2 linked regions of the Caenorhabditis elegans genome follow. The protein of the gene in region 2 interacts with the protein of the main gene of each other region in a pairwise test. Each region holds a gene or a part of one and is shown on either strand. Other genes may lie near its edges. The genes, in order: abts-2 and K09G1.1.

What was found.
Region 1: the proteins of K09G1.1 (region 2) and abts-2 interact in a two-hybrid assay, tested with the Caenorhabditis elegans proteins (one large-scale study listed by BioGRID).

Annotation. Positions count from the first base shown.
Region 1 is NC_003284.9:11,582,953-11,591,811, reverse strand, and holds abts-2 (Bicarbonate transporter-like transmembrane domain-containing protein), read right to left. Parts: upstream 6,138-8,859; 5' UTR 6,133-6,137; coding exon 5,981-6,132; intron 5,885-5,980; coding exon 5,708-5,884; intron 5,658-5,707; coding exon 5,534-5,657; intron 5,487-5,533; coding exon 5,385-5,486; intron 4,935-5,384; coding exon 4,824-4,934; intron 4,775-4,823; coding exon 4,690-4,774; intron 4,638-4,689; coding exon 4,515-4,637; intron 4,472-4,514; coding exon 4,358-4,471; intron 4,311-4,357; coding exon 4,178-4,310; intron 4,134-4,177; coding exon 4,060-4,133; intron 3,861-4,059; coding exon 3,710-3,860; intron 3,669-3,709; coding exon 3,577-3,668; intron 3,529-3,576; coding exon 3,360-3,528; intron 3,312-3,359; coding exon 3,138-3,311; intron 2,937-3,137; coding exon 2,818-2,936; intron 2,560-2,817; coding exon 2,480-2,559; intron 2,433-2,479; coding exon 2,263-2,432; intron 2,219-2,262; coding exon 2,155-2,218; 3' UTR 2,095-2,154; downstream 1-2,094. Other genes in the region: F52D10.2 (PID domain-containing protein), read left to right, coding at 98-171, 305-464, 513-649, 703-970, 1,064-1,286, 1,393-1,520.
Region 2 is NC_003283.11:9,582,421-9,592,406, reverse strand, and holds K09G1.1 (MARVEL domain-containing protein), read right to left. Parts: upstream 7,336-9,986; coding exon 7,251-7,335; intron 6,224-7,250; coding exon 6,105-6,223; intron 3,249-6,104; exon of another isoform or gene 3,241-3,248; coding exon of another isoform or gene 3,142-3,240; intron 2,994-3,141; coding exon 2,871-2,993; intron 2,704-2,870; coding exon 2,521-2,703; intron 2,472-2,520; coding exon 2,358-2,471; intron 2,290-2,357; coding exon 2,173-2,289; downstream 1-2,172. Other genes in the region: K09G1.2 (Protein RER1), read right to left, coding at 1,202-1,510, 1,558-1,680, 1,727-1,729; rtfo-1 (RNA polymerase-associated protein RTF1 homolog), read left to right, coding at 9,780-9,934.

The sequences.
Region 1 (8,859 bases), on a different chromosome or scaffold from region 2:
TCTCAGTCTGTTTCATTGCCCTCTACTTTTTTCTCTGGCTTTTCTATAATTTACATTGATCGTTAAATAGTTTTAAAAATATTATTTTTTATAGACAATGCCGTTCTTGGGTAGCACTGCACAGTCAGCCTCCAACTTCTTCACATTGCCGTTCAGAAAGAAGAAGCAAAGGTAAGTGATAATTAATCATATCACTACCACGATTTTCTAGATTTCTTTTTTTTTGTTTGCCTCAGTCTGATAGCTGTTTTTTACAGTAGACAGTCTTCAAAAAATTGACATGAAAAAAACGCGTTCTTTTTAGGTACACGATCAATCCCCCTGAAGAATCGTACAATGTCATCTATCTGGGTAACGTATTAACAATCATGGCACGTGGTGAGAATTGCTATGAAAAACCGTTGTCGTTGATTTGGAAAGCGTACTGCTCGCGTGCCAGAAGTGATTTGGGAATGAACTTGGAGGTCAGAAAAGTTAGCTTAAGCAGTTTTATCGAAATTCTTGTATTACAGATTACAAGATCGGGATTGAAAGCTGAGACAAAACAACAAGGGCTGACGGAATACTGGGCACACAGAATCACATTTAGTTCGGCTCCTCCTGAATATCCAAAAGTTTTCTGCTGGATTTACAAGCACGACGGAAAAAGGTACAGATTAACAAATTCGATATTTATTATTTATTTTGTATCACCGTTTTTAGACTGAAACCGGAACTTCGGTGTCATGCGGTTTTGTGCAAGAAGAGTGCCGAACCGGGAATTATCAACACGCGTCTTCAGAACTTCTTGCATGCTGCACTTCAGGAGTACAAGCGTGAGAAACTCTCTGCTCAGAATGCTCGTCTCACCGGATCAGCCGGGTGTCCTCGTCGCAAGCTCATTTTGCAGACTGGAACCCTCAATTTCCGTCCGCCTGTTAGCCGATCAAAGTCAGCGCCTCGTCTGGGCAGTATTGACGAAGAACAAGAAGTGAGTGTTGGAAATGTAGAATTGCGTTTGCTTCTTTGAATTTAAAGATAAAAAACCTTTTGCTATTACAAAATACTATGTTGTTTTTCTCAGGAAGATGAAGAGCAATTTGGTTCTGACGACAATGAGTCAGTGTGCTACCGTGCTGCTCCAGATGTCGACTCCAACTCATCGTTCCCAGTTAGTGACACTTACAAGTCTGATGCCGGACCAAGCAGTTCATCGACTACCGGTGCAAGTTCTGTGTGCTCCGATGATGACAGGACAACTCTGCGGCTCCCTGTGACGGATCCAGACAGCCTCTCTGAAGAAAGCGGTAAGTAAAACAAGGGGAAATGTGAAGTTGTCAATCATAGTTCATTTAATTTAGTTCAATCAATTAAATTTGACAAATAACTAGGTATAATGTTCTCGTTTTACAGGATACCACGAGGAAGGCAAGCTGGCTCGCGAATCTAGTGAAGAAATCTATGCGTCCGACAACGATCTGGTTATCCTCGAAGAAGATTACGAGGATGATGAAGAGGTTGAGCAAGTAACGTCGCTCTGAAGCTTGTTATTTTCATCAAATCATTGAAAACACAATCAAACTCAAATTTCATATTTCAAATTCCGAATGATATTCGACTCTTTTCGCGGGTCCGTCGCTTTTTTGTTTTATTTTTGTTCCAAACCTCTCAAACCTATTAACTAAAACAAAAAGTCTCAGAATTCTCAGCATCATTTTTATATTCTTTTCCCTCTTTCTTTCCTTCTCGCCATATGTTGAACCCAAAAATTATCGGTTTTGTCCTGTATGACTATACTTTATATACTTTAAAATTAGACTTTTTCTCTTAGTTAACTTAAACTAAATGTTCGCTAGACACGATCCTCTCTCCTACTGCATCTGTTCAAAGATTCTGCCAATACTATTATTTTAATGTAATATCGATTGATTGTCATTAATGTATTACTCGTTTGTGATTGTTCTAACATTTTCCGCAATTTTATTGCAATTTTTTTTGTTTGGAGCTGGGTCATGACTAGACATGACTTGTCGTTTCTGGTGCAATGACTAATGCAATTGGCGAATTTTACCAAAGACTGTTTTGATTACGCATATGATATTACAATAATAATGTTCAAAAGACGCTTTATAAAAAATGTGAATTATATGTTTTGTAAAAATAGGGTGGGCATGTTCAATGCTGTCCATCAATTGCTTCTAAATATTGCTTTCGGATGAACAACGGAAGGAAGAAGTGTCTGAAAATGTTCGAGTCGAAGTTGTAATTATGAAAAAGGTGTACCTGAATGGAATGAAAGCTGCGATAACAATAGGAAACACCATCTCAACGTAGTGATACTGTGCAAAACCGATAGCCACAAGGATTACAAGTTGGATGAATTCAATGATCGTGAATTGATGAACCACTCTTTGAGGAACACGGCGGATGTAATGTGTTGGTGGATAAGCACGCTGAAAAGGAACAAATATCTTATTGTCAATAAAAACGAACGTCCTACTTGTTCGGTGAAAATTAGCAAGATTCGCTCCCAAAACTCGTTTCCAGTCAAACTGCTGAATGCCATGAACAGGAAAACACCTAAAATATGTCATATGAAAAAGTTGCTTTTAAAATCAAACAAAAAAAACCAATCCCTGCATACTAAGTAAATGTATGTTTTAAGGTAAAGTAAAACCATTTAGATTTTGTCTCAATCCACTTGCAAAATCTAAATCACTAAATATTATGATAAAAAACTTCTACATTTTAGTCAAATATCAAATTTATACACAAACTAAACTCTTTGTAGTTTTTTGCGAAAAAAAACAGAAAATTTCACTGATTCTATATGATTACCGTTAAAGATTGATGTTGGAATAAATACTGTGATGTGTGGAACCAAAAAGAAGTAGATTGGTATCATAATGATGTGTGCAATTAACGTTGCCAAGCGAGTTTCTCGAACGTGAACGATTCTGAAAGTTAGTGATTCATTGTTTTAAATTAATTTTTTAAAGATCACCATATTAGTTATTGTACTTTAACATTTCAATTTTAACACGGTAGGCATGACCGCTATTTCAAAAATGTTGGGTATGTTTTTTTTTTCAATCGTCATATATTTTTAATTATTTGTTTTCCACTCAAATGTTCTTTGTACTCTACGTCAACATTACACTGTCTGTATGTATCCGTTATGTAGACGATCTTCCACATCACTCAGTGCCTTCAAATGTAGATATGCTGATGGTAGGGCTCCGTGCATCCATGGTAATCCGAAAATTGATAATCCAATATTTAAAACTCCAACAACAAGCAGATCCCAATGATGTGCAGAACCCTTTTTCAGCCTGGAAGAATGTGATGGAAGACAGACATAGCTATAAATCTCCACTCACTTATTGTCTTTGTTGTCAACAGTATTGGTAACAAGAAGTTGATCCATAAAAAAGAGAATAGACAATGGAATGGCAAGACCAACTGCTGGTAGTTGAGCTTCAGCGGGTAAATTGAAGAAAGGAACAAAGAATGCATCGGTTTCCCGTGAGAAAATTTGGAATTGTTCTTCTGAAATAAGATCAAAGTATGAATTTTCAACCTCAAATTTTCTCTTACTCTTGACATCACTAAAACCAAAAAACGAAATAAATGAAAAAACGAGAACGGCAATTGGCAAAGCATAATCAGATACTAAGTCGCGTTTCCATCTAAAAATTTTACTGATTTACGGATTCTTGTCAATTAGTACCTTGAAAGATATGGGGAACTTCTGAATGAAATAATTGTCATACTGAGCCAAGTAGTTCCAAACAGAAGGAAGATAAAAAGAAGTGGTTCGGCAGGGTCGCAAAGATCACCAGCAACATTATTAATGCATCCAAGATATCCATGAGTGTAAACTAAACAGAAATTGTAGAGCTTAGGATGTTACTATATTTATTTTTCAAAACAATTTATAGAACAAGGTTTTTCTAGGACAGTCTAGCGTTTGATGGTACTAGCCGCAAAACATGAATGAATACTGAGAATTTATGTGTTTTGTTATTATTCAAAAACAATTTGTACAGGTTTTTTACTGCAAGAAAGTTTTGATATTACCGTGAACAATTGCCATAATTGCTTTTATGATAAGAGCCAGAGCAATGAAAACTGAGAAAATTTCTTCGGTGGATCTAAAAACTCTCATGCTCGTTTTCGTGAATCATCTCAATAATACCTTGTTGTAAACTTCATAAGTGATGCTAACTGAAATACTGATGCTAGAATCAGCAAACCCATTGCGTAAATCCCAACAGACGCGTACATTTGAAAGAAATCCCAATCGTTTGTCTGTGCAACTTGATAGATCACTGAAAAACAATTACAGAACATAAAACATATTCAATTTTTGTGTCACCAGCAATGTAGATACTCAATGGAGCCGTGGTTGAAAGAATCAAAAGTTGTTGACCTCCAAATATCCCAAAAAGCAAACTTCCAATCCATTGCCCCAGAACCACTTTTTGTACATCTACAACTGATTTTGTTTTGAAATGTACTACAGTATTCCTTACTAATCGCCCCATTCGTATTGTTTTCATTCAACATTCCATATGCGATTGACGTTGGCAATATTGTAAAAATCAAAAATACTGCAGTTGAAATCACTTTGGAAACCGATCGACGGTCCTTGATGCCTTTAAGAATAACTCGTTACTCGGTTATTTTCATTTGTTCACAAAATCTCACCGTCCAAATAATCCGATTTGTAATTTGCCATGCGACGTTTGAAATCCTTGACCAGACCGCGGAAAGGATAGTAGGGACAAAAACTCTGAAAGCAGAAGGTACATTATTTGAAATCAGATACAAAGTGAGTTTACAGAATTTTTTGATTCATACTCATCATCGTCATCCGCAATTGGTTTTCCGTTAACTTGAATAGTGAGCTGTTGTGAAAGCCCTTTTGCATATTCAGTTAACAGGTCACGAAGCTGGAATAAAAAAAATAAGATTATAAAATTTTTGTCTCTATTAGTATTGCAAGCACTACAATTTTTCAATTGTTCATTTTCACTGCAATACGAAACGAAACAAAATTCTGAAGTATAATTTTTGATCAAGCACGTTTGATTAAATTTAAAAAAAAAGATTTGTTTTTGACAACTTCACAAATGTATTATGAAAACAAAAACATTAGAATAATCACAAAAAGTTGGGGAGTACTATCAGGGACGAAATTTCAAAATGAACAGTTATTTTAATTTTCAATGTCAATTTGACAGCAACTCTAGTGCGGGTAATTTTAATAGTTAAAGCAATGCATAGTAAATTATTTTATTTAAAAAAATGCAACTAGACACTATAATCCGCATTAAAAACGACTTTGGTAAAAATTATCAGTTTTTACTTTTCAACCCCAGATTTTAATGTTGTCTTTTAACCTGATCATCATCGGCTGCATCATTCACAGATTGACGGAGTGTGTCATTCATTAAAAGGGTAGCAAAAGTTCTTGCAATTTCCGCTGCTGACTTTGTATGTTTCTAGACATGAACAACTATTATTAATGAGAGCCGTTTAGTATGCACACCTCATAGCTTGGCGAAAGAATAAGAACCACAGTCCTAGCTTCCTCCATTTCCAGACCAAGATTTGTTGCATCCTCAAGAGTCGCCAATGCCATGTGGCTTTGTTTTAGGCCATCAAGCTGGGCACTGAAGGTGGCAGCAATAAAAGTTAAAACATATGCAAAGAAACAACTCACTATGTCACAATCCAGGTTTGGTTGACGTCGAAAAAGTCAGTTCCTGAGTAACTTTGAAGCTTATGGTGAAGGCGTGGAGCACGCGAATCTCTATCAGACACCGAGAACACGGCATTTTTAAACAGAGCCAGATCGAACTTTTCCTGTGGGAACCGAGAGGATAGATCGGAAAACAACCTGAAATTAAGTAAGCATACGATTAGTTGATTAAAATATTAGCTAAACCGTTTTTCAAAATACTGCAATGGAAAAGAGAAGTAATACAAAACTTACGACAACAGAATTGTGTGGATATGAGAATGATTCATGTTTCTATGAATGCAAGCTCTTTCAATCAAGTGATCAACATCCATTAATCCTCGTACTTCAGTCTTAAAGTTTCGCGCATGTTCCACCCTTTCCGTTCGACATAGTAATTCAGGCATTACTACTGAAACTCAATTTCACAGTTGATGAGTATTGAATAAACGTAGTTAAGTAGTAAATAAGTGCAACAAAAACTTGAAAACACGCATAAGAATACAATTTTGCAAGTATACGATATTTAAACCCGAATTCAAAGTGAGGCTTTGAACAAATCCATTAAATTCGTACAATCCAAATGAGCCAATAAACCACCGTAATACTCCAAGATGGTATCTTTAAATGGTTTTTGTGAATTACTATGCTTTAAAATTAGAACCATGTGGTGTTGAAGAGTTTTGAAACGAATAAAACTAGAAACGATATTCTAGAATATTTTGAAATAAAATGCGAATAACGTTGATACAATTTGAGTTATGACGCTGTCAACAGTCATTTTCTGTTGACATTGACTCCTGGATTAGTTAAAAATGCAAAAATATGCAGAATGTTTCAATTGTGTCCGTCATCGGTAGCGTTAACTTTCAATTTCTATGATAACTCTGCATTTTCGGTACCATAGTTTGTGTAGAATGTGGTAGAGTAAGACATGGAGTGGTTTTATTAAATAAGACTATGTTTTACAAATTTATTTCTTAAAACTTTGTGCAATTTAATAAGGAATGACAATAGAATGGAGAGGAGCAGTTCAAATTAAAGATACCAGCAATTCAATTTTTGTTGCGTGCATGAGACTTTTTTATGATTTCACAACGGGCCAGGGAGTAGAACGACAAATTCATCAAATGCGGAGAGCAAGAGCCGTGACGACATCAAGTGAGTCGCGGGAGATTGCCGCTTGGAAGATTGAATCGACCCATCTGCAAGTGAAATAAAAAGTTAATTGAAGGTGACGGACACAATGTATATCTGATCCAGACATGGAAAAAATGAACAAACCTTTCAAAAAAGTAATAGGAATCGGTGCGGAAAAAGTAGGTGTGTGAACCGTAGAACAACTTGAAGCAGTTCTCATGGTTGTCGATCTTGTCAGCAACCGTTGGCAGTCCTACACCATAATCCATGAGGGACAAATGTGCAAGTGGTTCTCTCTCCTAAAATTGATAAAAATTAATTAACAACAGTATTCGTCGGTCTGTAAAAATGTGCCTGGAAAATTCAACTACTTTAGATTTTTCAGCAACAAGCCAAAAATAGAACAACAAATCTTTCTTAAAGATAGAGAGAGTACCGCCTAAGGGTACCATTTTGAAAACTACTTAATGTTGAAAAATAATTGAATTTGATTTGTTTGCAGACAAAACAACATAATATTTTTCTACAAATTTTAGATTCTTATAATGTTCCAACTATTTGTATTTGGATATTGCAGAGGTTTGATTTAATCTCCTATATTTTTCAAAAATACCGTTTTTTTTTCCGAAATTTGGCAGTTCTCAACCTGTGACTGACTGTTTTCTTTATTTTTCGTGAACTCACGTTATGATTTCTATAAAAGTACAGTGTGTGACAACACATGACCACCCATAAATCCTGCCACCCGGATGAATTGCGCAGTTTCCGCTTCAAATATCCACACATGGTATTTGTTATCATTTTATTGACATCTTTTCTTCCAAACGAGCATTTTCGATACCAGCAAATTTGCAATGGGCTCATTTTTGACACGGGAGATTCTTCTGGTAGCAACACTTTTGTCACTAAAATTGAAAAAAATTAAAAGCATGTTTTAAAGTAACAGCAGTTTTCTTACTATCAATATCATTTTCCTCTTTCTTCTCCATTACCAAACTAGGTAGATCTATCTTTGCTCTAGCCGCATTTTTAATAGCTTCTGTAATGTCTTCAATCCAAGATGCACGATCTGGTGCAGCAAAAACAATAGAGATATCTGCGTTGTGGAGAGTGATTACATTATTTTCGCCGTCCATCACTTTGTATGTATCACCTTCATCAATCTTAAATTAAAAATTTTTAGAAGTTCCCTAACTAAAATTCCATACCATCATCCCTTTCAATTTGAATTCAGCATGAACAGTGAAAAAGTTTCCGTCCAAGTTCACACCTCGGTGCCCAAATAATATCCTGTCGGAACAAAGCACCATTATCCTACAGCATGGTGCACGTCTGGCAGATCGGAGCACAAATCCCACACGCAAAATTTTTCTGTTTGGATGAGTAAGTATTCCAACTAGTCCCGTATCCCTTTCAACTTGTAGAACGTGGATGTATTCTTCAAGTGACTGTCTGGTTGCCTTGGTCTTTTTTGCAAATTCGATGATTTTATCCATTGCAACTCCAAAGGCAGTTGTTTCCGTGTCATTCCCACATTCTGATAACTGAATTTCAATAACTCTCGCTAACACCGGTTGCCAGTTGATGAGGCGGTTAAGAATTTTCAGAAGAATCCAATTCACTTGGGTGTAGCATTCTTTTGATGATTCAAATTTTCTGCAAATGTTTAGATATAAATTTCACTACTCATTTTTGCAAACTAACGACATGATTGTTCGAAATGGAATTTTTGATCGATATAACTGATCTAGCGCAGACACATAAATGGGAAAGTTTTGAACCAAAGACTGATACAAGGGAGTCAGGTTGTGCACTGTTGCTAGTAAAACTGGCGCTACCATTGCTGCTTTTGAGTCTTCAGGTCTGCAAAAAATTATTGTTACGTCACTTGCAAAAAATCACCTTACTCATTCGAGGATTCCCTCAGTGCATCAATTAACGGCTGATGGATGGGAGGAAGCTCCTTCAGCGATCCAAAAAGTTCTTTTAAAAAT
Region 2 (9,986 bases):
GAAAAGGAGAAGAAGGTTAAGGAGAGGTGTGCTTTCTGTCACCTTTGCACGCACTTCCGGTAATTCGAACAAAAGTATTATTATGTTGTTGGAAGTGTGAAAGAAAAAATAAAAATGTAAAAATGAATGAAAAACAGAAACGTCAGAAATTTTTTGTTTTGTTGATTTTAATAGAACAAAATACCGAATTTCTACAGTGAAATCAAAGAAATAAATAAAACAGACTTTCAGCCAATTTTTTGTCGAAAAACATGTATTCCCAGTTTAAATTTCCTATCGGATTTCTTTTTTGAAAACTAGAACTCCGAAATTTGCGCCAACGACTCGCAAGGAATGGTCTCGAGTTTTACGAAAAGTGTGTAATCATAGCCTGGAAAAATTATAGTTTTTAGCAGTTGGTTGATATCATCAAAACTTATTTGAAACATATTTTCAATAACAGTAATTGATAATTTATCAGTCAGTTAATTAAAATTAAATAATTTTCGTTGAGTTTCCAAATTTGGTAATCTCTTTTAAACATTTTCATATTGCTACGGAAAGTTTAAAAAGAAAAATCGGGAGGAAAACTACACGCAGAATGAAAAAAAACAAGTTTATGTCTAAAGATCGCAACATCAGTTCCAGATGATATATGAGTGTTTGGGTCAAGTCTTGTGAGTTATTACCTCATAGTGCTCCTATAATACTTTTACAAGGGTTGAGTGGGTGGGCCGCTTACCCTTTCCTTTCTCAACTTTTTTTCAAATAGGTCAACATATTTTTAGACTCTTCAAGGTGCATAACACACTTATTGAAAAAAGGGTTGAAAACGTGGAAAGAGTCCCGGAGATTGAAATTGGGGCGGGGGCGCATTATAATTGAGAAAAGGATGAGAGGAAGACAACTTCCTTCTGGGAACTAAAAGTTTTATGACGTCTGAAGAGGAGAAGCTCATGTTTGAATAGGTATTCCAAATAGGTGTCTAAACGCCTGTCTGACCTGTCTCGCGTGATCAGTCTTGGAGTAGGCAGGGTTGATGTTGGTGCCGCTGCCTGAATCTAAGGCTCCATTAAATCCCTATATTATAACAACAAATAACTTAGATTGCAAATAATAAACAGCTGCCTTTGAGAAAACAATCAGATTGTACCAAACAACAAAAATTTTAAATCGACAAGCTTTATTAGTTTCCTCGTTTCAATGTTGTATTTCTTCCTTCCTATTTTTGTTTAGCAGATTGAGGAGCTGGACGTGCGGGTGGCTGTTTTGTCATTGGAGTTACCAAATGAGACTTGAAGATTTCCCACATATCAGTCCAAGTCCAGATCTCAGCATCATAGGATACTTTGATAATATTGAGAGTTGATTTGAAGAGCTCTTTTGCATGATTTGGTTTACGGTAGCAAAAGATAAGAATACGATAGACTTTCACAAATATGTCGGAAAGAATCTCGAATGCAGAATGAAGGAACCGAACGACAATCATGAGAACGAAGATGAGAGCAGCCCAGATTATATCGATTACATCCTAAAAAACATAAAATTGAACTACAAAACAAATGCACAATAACATACCTTAATGCCTGTAGATCTTTTCGGTTGTGGAGTTTCTGCTCTTAGGCTGTCGGGTTTCTTTTTCTTCTCGGACATTGAAGTTTCAGTTTTTGGAATCGCAGTGCGAGTCGAATTGCTATTTTCCTTCAAAAACGATTTTGAAGAACAGTCAGCATTGGATTTCACTTACCATTTTTTGAACTTTCCGTCGAATTTTGCCACAAGTAAATTAAGCAATAAATTTTCATTGGAAATGGTCTGTTTTTCGAATTCGTTACGTGAGTTTTGCAACGTTGCAATCTTAATAACGTCCGTGAACTTTTAATAACTTTCCAATTGCAAGAAATATTCAAAACGGCCAAATAAATTTATTAAAAATTTATGAAAGCAATTTCATATTGAAAAACAAATGTCAAGTTTCAGAACAATAAAAATGCTAATTCTACCTGTGAGCGTTAAACAATACAACACAAATTGGAAAGGCTCTTGAAAAATTATAAGTGAAGTGAGAATAAGAAAATATAAGGTTTTTGGTTGATAAACGTTGGCAATTCAATATTTGGATTGAGGACTAGTCAAATTGAATGGAGGCTAAGAATGGATCATCACAATTGGTCAGTTTGAAAGAACTTTTATTTAAGCTTGAGCATTTCCGGCTTCAATCACAGTTGTTGGCTCGTTTTCTCCTCTCCACGCCTTCAGCTTCACGACGGTTTCAATAGCAAACAATACTGTTAAGGCGACGCAGATCACCTGAAATTAATGTATTTTGCAAGTGAAAACAATATAATGCAACTGTAACTATGAAAACAAATACTTACAGCAGTCATAATAGCAGCTCCTCTTCCATCCGTTCCCCAGCTAGCAGACAAATGAACCATTAACCAGATTGAGATGAAGTACAAAAGAGTGTTGACTCCATAGAAGATCAGCTCCTAAATTTTTCAAAATCTATGATTCGATCGGCATGAACCTGGTAATTACCACAACAATAAGTCCCTCTCTCGTGGCTTCATCTTTGATGGTAAGATGTGGGAAGACTACATAACCAAGAAGAAGTGCAGAAACAATAAGAAGAGTTTCAAATGAGATATGCTCAGTCCAGGCGGCTGTTGTTGTTCGACGATCAGCACAGATGGCAAGGATGAAGGCGATGAAAGAAAGAACCTGTTAAGTATTCAGGTTTTATGATTTGCAAGCAAAAAATTACTACTTGTCTGCCTACAATATAGATGTGACTCGACTTATTTTGCCGCCGATCTTTCAATTTAAAATAACTATTGACATGCAATACAGCTTCAAAAATTAGGAGGATGAGCACATTCCAAACTCACAATTTCAGCAATCTTCAAAACTCCGGCAAGTGTTGCCAAGTAACCAGTGTTGAGTTGTCCTTGACGGTTTGTTGGAATGATTTTCACCTTATTAGCCATATGGAATTGAAGCTTCTTTTTCTCCTGAAATAACTTGATGTTTAAAAAATAATTTTAAATTTTTAACATTTTGTGTACCTGCCCTGCACATTATCAAAAAGGTTGGTGCATTTAATTAGGGTTATTAATAATATTTCTAAGTGCTTTAAAATTTGAATCTTAAGTTAGGAACCTTCTTTGGAGAAGAATCAGGTCTTGTGATGTCATCAGAATGGGGTACGTCCTTGGCCGGTCCCAATTCAACGGTTGTTCCCTCTTCGGTTTGCATCATTTTCTATTCTTCAATGGTAGAAGGATTATGATTATGGATAGGTAAGTTGAAGAGAAAAGGAAAATATGAAAAAGAAAAACAGGTATTGGGAGAATTCCAAACTTTTTTAGATTCCTTTTATTTGGATGTTTTCGGGTATTCGTCTTTTGATGACAAAGCCAAGAAACATGCATTGTCAATTTTTTTACAAAAAGGCAAAAGCAAGAACACAAAAAGTATCGATAAAGCGTGGAAAAGTAAAAAAAAAGAAGAAGAAAAAGAATAAAATGTGAGTTTTGTAAATAAATACAGACACAGTCATGACCTGGTTCTTCGGAGAAAAGTGACAGAAGATACGTGTATATAGTAGTAATATCGAAGTTGAAAAGAAGAGACACAGAAAAGACCGGAGAAGGAAATTGGGAAGAAGAAGATCCGTAAGTGATGATAGCATTACGCGGTCAAGAATCGAGATGAGAGATCGAGAGACTATTGTACTTGTAGACATTGGATAAATCTAACTGTTATGTTTCACATTAGAAAGATATTGTGAAGGTTTTTGGGTTCTTTGCAAATCACTGAGTGAAAATATACATATAATGAATATATACTTCTGGGTGAATAGGTATCGTCGTTTAGTTATTAATCATTCTTCTAATAATTCAATGATTTAAAATGAAGATGGTACTCATAAACCACATTTTCTGTAGAAAGGTTTCGAACTCGACCAAAAAACTGTTTATTTTCCTTCAAATTTTCTATTCTAATTAAGCTTTACTTACTTTTATCTAAACATTGTGCACATTGCTCTAATTTATTTCTGAATTCGTGTTTTTTCGTAAATATTTTTAGATTGTTTGGTATTTTTGGGTTATCGCGACATGGACCTTTACTGTGCTACCTTAAATTTGCGTGTATTTTTCCTGACAATTTCAGAACAAACATAGAACTGCAAACGATACAAAATTGTATTAATTCATGTATGAAACAGACGTTCGTGATTTTTTAAGTGTTTTGAGTGAAATTGAAATCCGATTTCTTATTTAAAAAATAATTGTATCATTAAAGGAAATGAAAAAAAAAATCTCGAGAAGATATGAAATAAACCTAGCTGATTACTAGAGAAAAACAATCCAATTTGATAAATTCTAGGTAATTTCAAAAAATAAACAAAATGTCATTGTGAATGGCCAATTGAAAATCATTCTTCCGCATCATGAAATGAATCGAGGCATAGTGAAGACACGATTCCAAAGTGTCACTTTTCACGTTCGGAAACTATGTGGACATCACTCCTCAAAGTCAAATAACGAGAGGGTCATGTTCTTTTCTTCAAGTGGAAAACATCCGGAAATGGAGGCAAATGGGAATTTAGATTTCAGGAGAGAGGAAAAGGAAGAAGATGAGATACTAAGAGAAATAGAAACTGACCTTGGAATGATTTCTATCTTTCCAACGGGGTGATAAAACACTAAAATACACTTTGGTGTTCCCATTCTTCTATCAAAAAAAGTAAAAAATAAATATTTTCAATTTGTTTGTTCGCCTTTTTCGTGGTTCTACAAAAAGAGGTATTTAAAACCACAGTGTCCAAATCAGCTTGGAGTGAATCATATAATTGCGGTTTTTTAAGAAAAATAGGTTGTATCTTGATATCGATGATATGTAATCTTATATCTTGGTCGACGAAAAACAATTGCTTGAGATTTGTCAAGTATGTCAACACAAAAAGATACATAAAATAGTTTCATAAAGTATTTACAGTTGCATATTTGGCTCAATTTGGCACACAATCTCACATATTTCATTTCTATAAAACATTGCAAAGTTATGACCATGTTTAGTTTCTCAATGGGCTTTGGAAAATATGCATTCAACCAAAAAACGATGTATCGGGAGAAAAAACCTGAAAAATTCCCATTGGAAATTTTCTGAATGATTCTTAAAATGAAGTGTGTTTAATAATAATTTTAAATTAATTTTAAATAAAACTTCTTCCGGTCAATCTATTTCAACGAAGTTAAACCAAACCAAAACAAGAACAAAAAATGATAAGAAGGTGTGGTTTTTCCGTATTCTTCATCTATTTTTCTTATTGTAAAAAAAATCTTCAATCCATTCGTCTACGTCTATCATTAGGCGGTCTTCAGTTACCTTTTGTAAAGCAACGACGACGGTCGAAAGAATAAATACAGAAGTGAATTTGAATCGATCGAATAAATGGACAGGTAAATAAATAACTGGTAGACTGGGAGGATAGAGAAATGAAACAGCAAAATGGATAGGATCAAATCGGTGAAAAAGTGGGACTGTATGAAAAAGAAGAGGGGTGAACCGGATCTATCAATAGCACCAACTACTAGTACTCATAATTATACATTCTCATGATGACATGACATGTCTGAATAAACACCACATGGATTTTTTAGATTAGGTTAGCTGTCCGAAACTATTGGAACATATTTTAAAACTTCCTTATTTAAAAATCCTGTTCAATTTTGAAAAAAAAAACACTTTTGAAAACAGTTATTTGAATGAAAGCACTTAACATAATTTTTGAATTTGACAAACATAATATTTTTTACAAATTTTATAGTACTTGATTTAAATTTGTTGAATTGGCAAAAATTGTCAAAAAATGGTTATTTTTGCCAATACTAATTATAAACAACTGAAAACCGGCTGATTGAAAAGCACTTGGCAAAAGATTTCGATGTGTTCAAACGTATCAAACGTATCAAGATACATGTCAAAATCACCACTAACATCCCTAACACCTTTCATTATCAAAAGCTTCTCAAGCAACTGCTCATGCTTCTCCCCAGCATTTTTTCCCTGTTCGTTCGTTGCGGGGGCAGGTTACACGGACTCACACAAACACGTACCACTGTCTTGGTTTCGGTGGTTCCGTCCGGTTTGCGGATTGTGATGATTTCTGTTTCACTCATTTTTCCGTCTTCTTGTGGATTTTCTTGAAAACTGGCAGCCGCACGACGTACTTCCCCTGCAACAATCTTCCTGAGTCAATTGAAAAAAGGTAGAGAAAAGGTCACAAATCAGTGATAGTGCAAGAACATAGTGTTAGAAATTAAAAACTAAGAACATTACTCGTAAGAAAACTCATTTGTTTTTGGAGTCTATGAAACAATTGTGTAGATGGAATCACCTGACTGTACATTCTAGGTTTGCAGTGAGCAAACAAAAGATTTACTACTCCTACTCAGAAACGGAAAAACAAATGAAAAACTATTGCAGTGTGAAACTATAGGACAAGTAGCTCAGTAATCTTCGACATTAATAATGCTCGTGATAATTTGTTTCTTCTAAACTAACAGAGACCTCATATTTTCCGTAGAAGTCGTACTGACCATTACTCAACTTTAATAGCTCATAACTCGGGTTCTTTGTTTAAAAATGAAGTATTCATAGACAAAACCCCAATGTAATTTTGTAATTAGATTCGTTGATATCTGCAAATGAACTAAAATAATTGCTAAAAAATGGAGTAATATGGTGCATGTCTAATGGTAAAAATGCTGTAACTATCTTGTATCTCGACATTTAATATACATTTAATATGCAGTATATTTGAATTTTTTGAAATCATTTGATACAAATTTATTTAATCTATTTAGAACCAACTCTAGGAACTTTGAATCAAATTTATCAGCAATAAAACTGATAATTGGAAATAAGAAGGCCATCACCGAAATGACCAAAAAAAACTCCGAATGTCTTCATTTTTCCTTCAATCGTTCTTGTTTTGAAAGAAGGTGATAAGATGAAGAAAATAGGGAGAAATGAAAAAAAGTTCAGTTGTACGATATGAAACTTATAACGAGACATTAATTTTAGCTTCCTGGTTTCTAAATGTGAAAACAGAATTCAAGTAAAGCATATCTAGATGGAATCTCTAGCCTATTTTTTAGAACTTAAAGTGAATTCACAAGTTCTTTTCACAAAGTTCATGATCTAAAACAAGCAAATTTAGACACCGAGCTTCTAGGTTTACGCATTCCTAACTCAAATACCTTCAACAGGAATAGCCGCCGTAAAACCAGCAGTGGATCGAAGCGCCGTAGCTACTGATTTTTCGTCATCTGTTTCTTTTTTCATTGTCTGTCGACTGGGCAGTCAATCAAGAATGCAACAAAAAAAAACGAACGACAATAAGAAGAAAAAGAAGACGAGAAGGACTGTAACTAAAGTTGGGAGACCAAAAATGAGAGAACGGATAGGAGGAGCTGACATTTGTTTTGATATCGAAAGTAATGTATATATTATTATTATTCAAGACTGAAAGTTAGAATTGAAAAAAAGAAAAAAAGGTACGGTCTGGAAACGAAACTTTGAAGAAAAGGGAAAAAGTTTGGAGCCATCCTTAACTTTTTGTCTTGGTACACTGTTTGCTCAGCAATAGAGATTGAACGGGAATGGTTTTTGGCAAGAAGAAATAGGTGAAGCACTCAATAAAAAATAATGTGTGTCTCTAAGAGATTCAGAGAAACATTCCTCTTGTGACGTGGCACTTCAAGCATTGAACAGAGTCATATCTTTTACTTACTCCAAGAAATTTTCAAGTTATCAAATCAGTTGAATGACTGTCTAAGTCTCTTTAATTTCAGTAATGTCTAGTACTAATCATTCGAGGTGTGGCATGATTGATTTGTTTCTTTTTATTTCATTTTGGTGATGAAGAGAAGAAAGAAAATAAATTAAAATCACCTAAAATTGAAGTCAAGTAGTAATCTTCCAATCGGCTGGCAGGTAGATGAGTAATCATGATGAGTTCTAATAAAGTAGTGAACGTTGCAGGCTCATAGCCATTTCAAATATTCAAATTTTCAATATTCATTCAGAATGCGTGATGAGAGGTACGTCGTCACGCAATACAATTGCCGGTTTTGTGAGAAGGAAGAGAGATCGATTAGAATGAAAGTGATATAGAGAGGAGAAACCACTTGGCTGGATAAACATGTACTTGATGGTTAGAACTGTCGGAAAAGCAAAATGGATTGTGTTCGAGAAAATATGAACATTTGGAAAGTTTTGAGTTCTGAAGCTTTAAAAGAATAATAAGATAAAATACGTTCACAAAGTCTTTTGAAATTTTATACGGGCAACTCGGACTGAAAAAGTTAGACAATCAATGTGAAATCGGGTTTTTTACAGAAAGTCTCTATATTTAGCGTTAAATTAAAATTGAATGTTACTAATGTGAACATTTGTTGAATTGGACATCAAGATTTTGTTTCGCAATTATTTACCGTAATCTTGAAGGCGCATATACAAATATATAGAGGGCCGTAAATTGATACGAGCTACAGTAACTCGTTGTCCGAGTGGCGAGACCCCTGCGAGTAAAGTATAACCAACATTAAAATATCTAAACGTCTGCGTTATACGGAATTTTTTATGTATTAAACACAAATGAGTCTCTCTTAAAAACTCGTAGAAAGAAAACATGCAGTATTTCAATAATCAGATAACTTACCAAAATTAAACTCTGCCTCAGCTGCTCCTCCATTGTGTCGATGGGATTCGAACCGCAAATTCTTCATTTTCTTCGAAAACTTCGCTTACTACTTCTACTAATTGTCGAATGGCAACAGGAAACACGAAAAGAAAGATTATCCTTTATTTCTGATTCTCTGTATCTCCAGGTCTACCTAAACACTTTAATAGAACAACTGTTCACTAAAGAGCATTTGATCTTTCTTTTTTCGTTTTTTCTTCTCTTACATCGTTTAACCTGGAAAAGGGGTTGTATTTCCGTAAGCCATCTACCCTTGTCTCTTCTTATGTTTTTTTCTTGATTAATGGTTTTTGAGAATACTGTGAGAGCATAAGAGATTTGAAAAACCTATAAGAACACTTCGGATTCCCACAGGATGGGCACTAAAGAATTAGTTTTTCTAAACTTCAGAAAATGGGAGTGTCTCTCAATTTCCTTATCGATTATAAAAGTGTTTGGTATTTATATATAAATCCATTAAATATACATAGCTTGCACCATGACCTACAGCAACAGAAGCCAATATCCCAATTGTGTGCGACAACCTTGCAAAATAGCGTGCGCGGCTTGCAAAGTGGGCGGGACTAAATGTATTGACACTGTGCAGTTTGAATGTAAAAATTTATTCTTAATTTTCGGTATTTTCTTTGGTTTTTCGTTATTATAATTGATTTTTAATGATTCTTTATTATTATCTTAATTCAAAGAGTAGAAAAACTTTATTGCACCCGTCCTTTTTGTTTCTCGAATCCAATATTGACACATTTTTTGAGAAACTTAAGTTTTTTCTTAATTTTTCGAATATTTTCGACAAAAACGCGCATATATCATTAAAAATATGACACTTTTCCTTGTTTCTTTTATTTGTTTAAATATTTGTATGAAACCTATTGTTCGTAGCCATCTTGCAACTGTGTGTCGATATCGATTTTCCCAGAACAAATGTCAGACGCTCTACATCACTTTTATACAACCGTTTCTTCTCACCGTTCTCTAATAATTTATTCAATTCATAATTATGTTCTCAGGGTCAGTTTAATCAACAATGTCTTCCTCTGAGAGTGCTTCATCAGACGAAGAGACAAAACGCCGTGCTCCAGCCACTTCAGATTCCGATTCTGACTCAGACGCAGGTCCAAAACCTGGAAAACCTCTCAGTACCGACTCCTCGGCATCCGATTCAGATGCCGAAAAACCACAGTGAGTTTTACTGTTTTCTATCCAAAAAAAAGTTATACGAGTTTCCATTTTC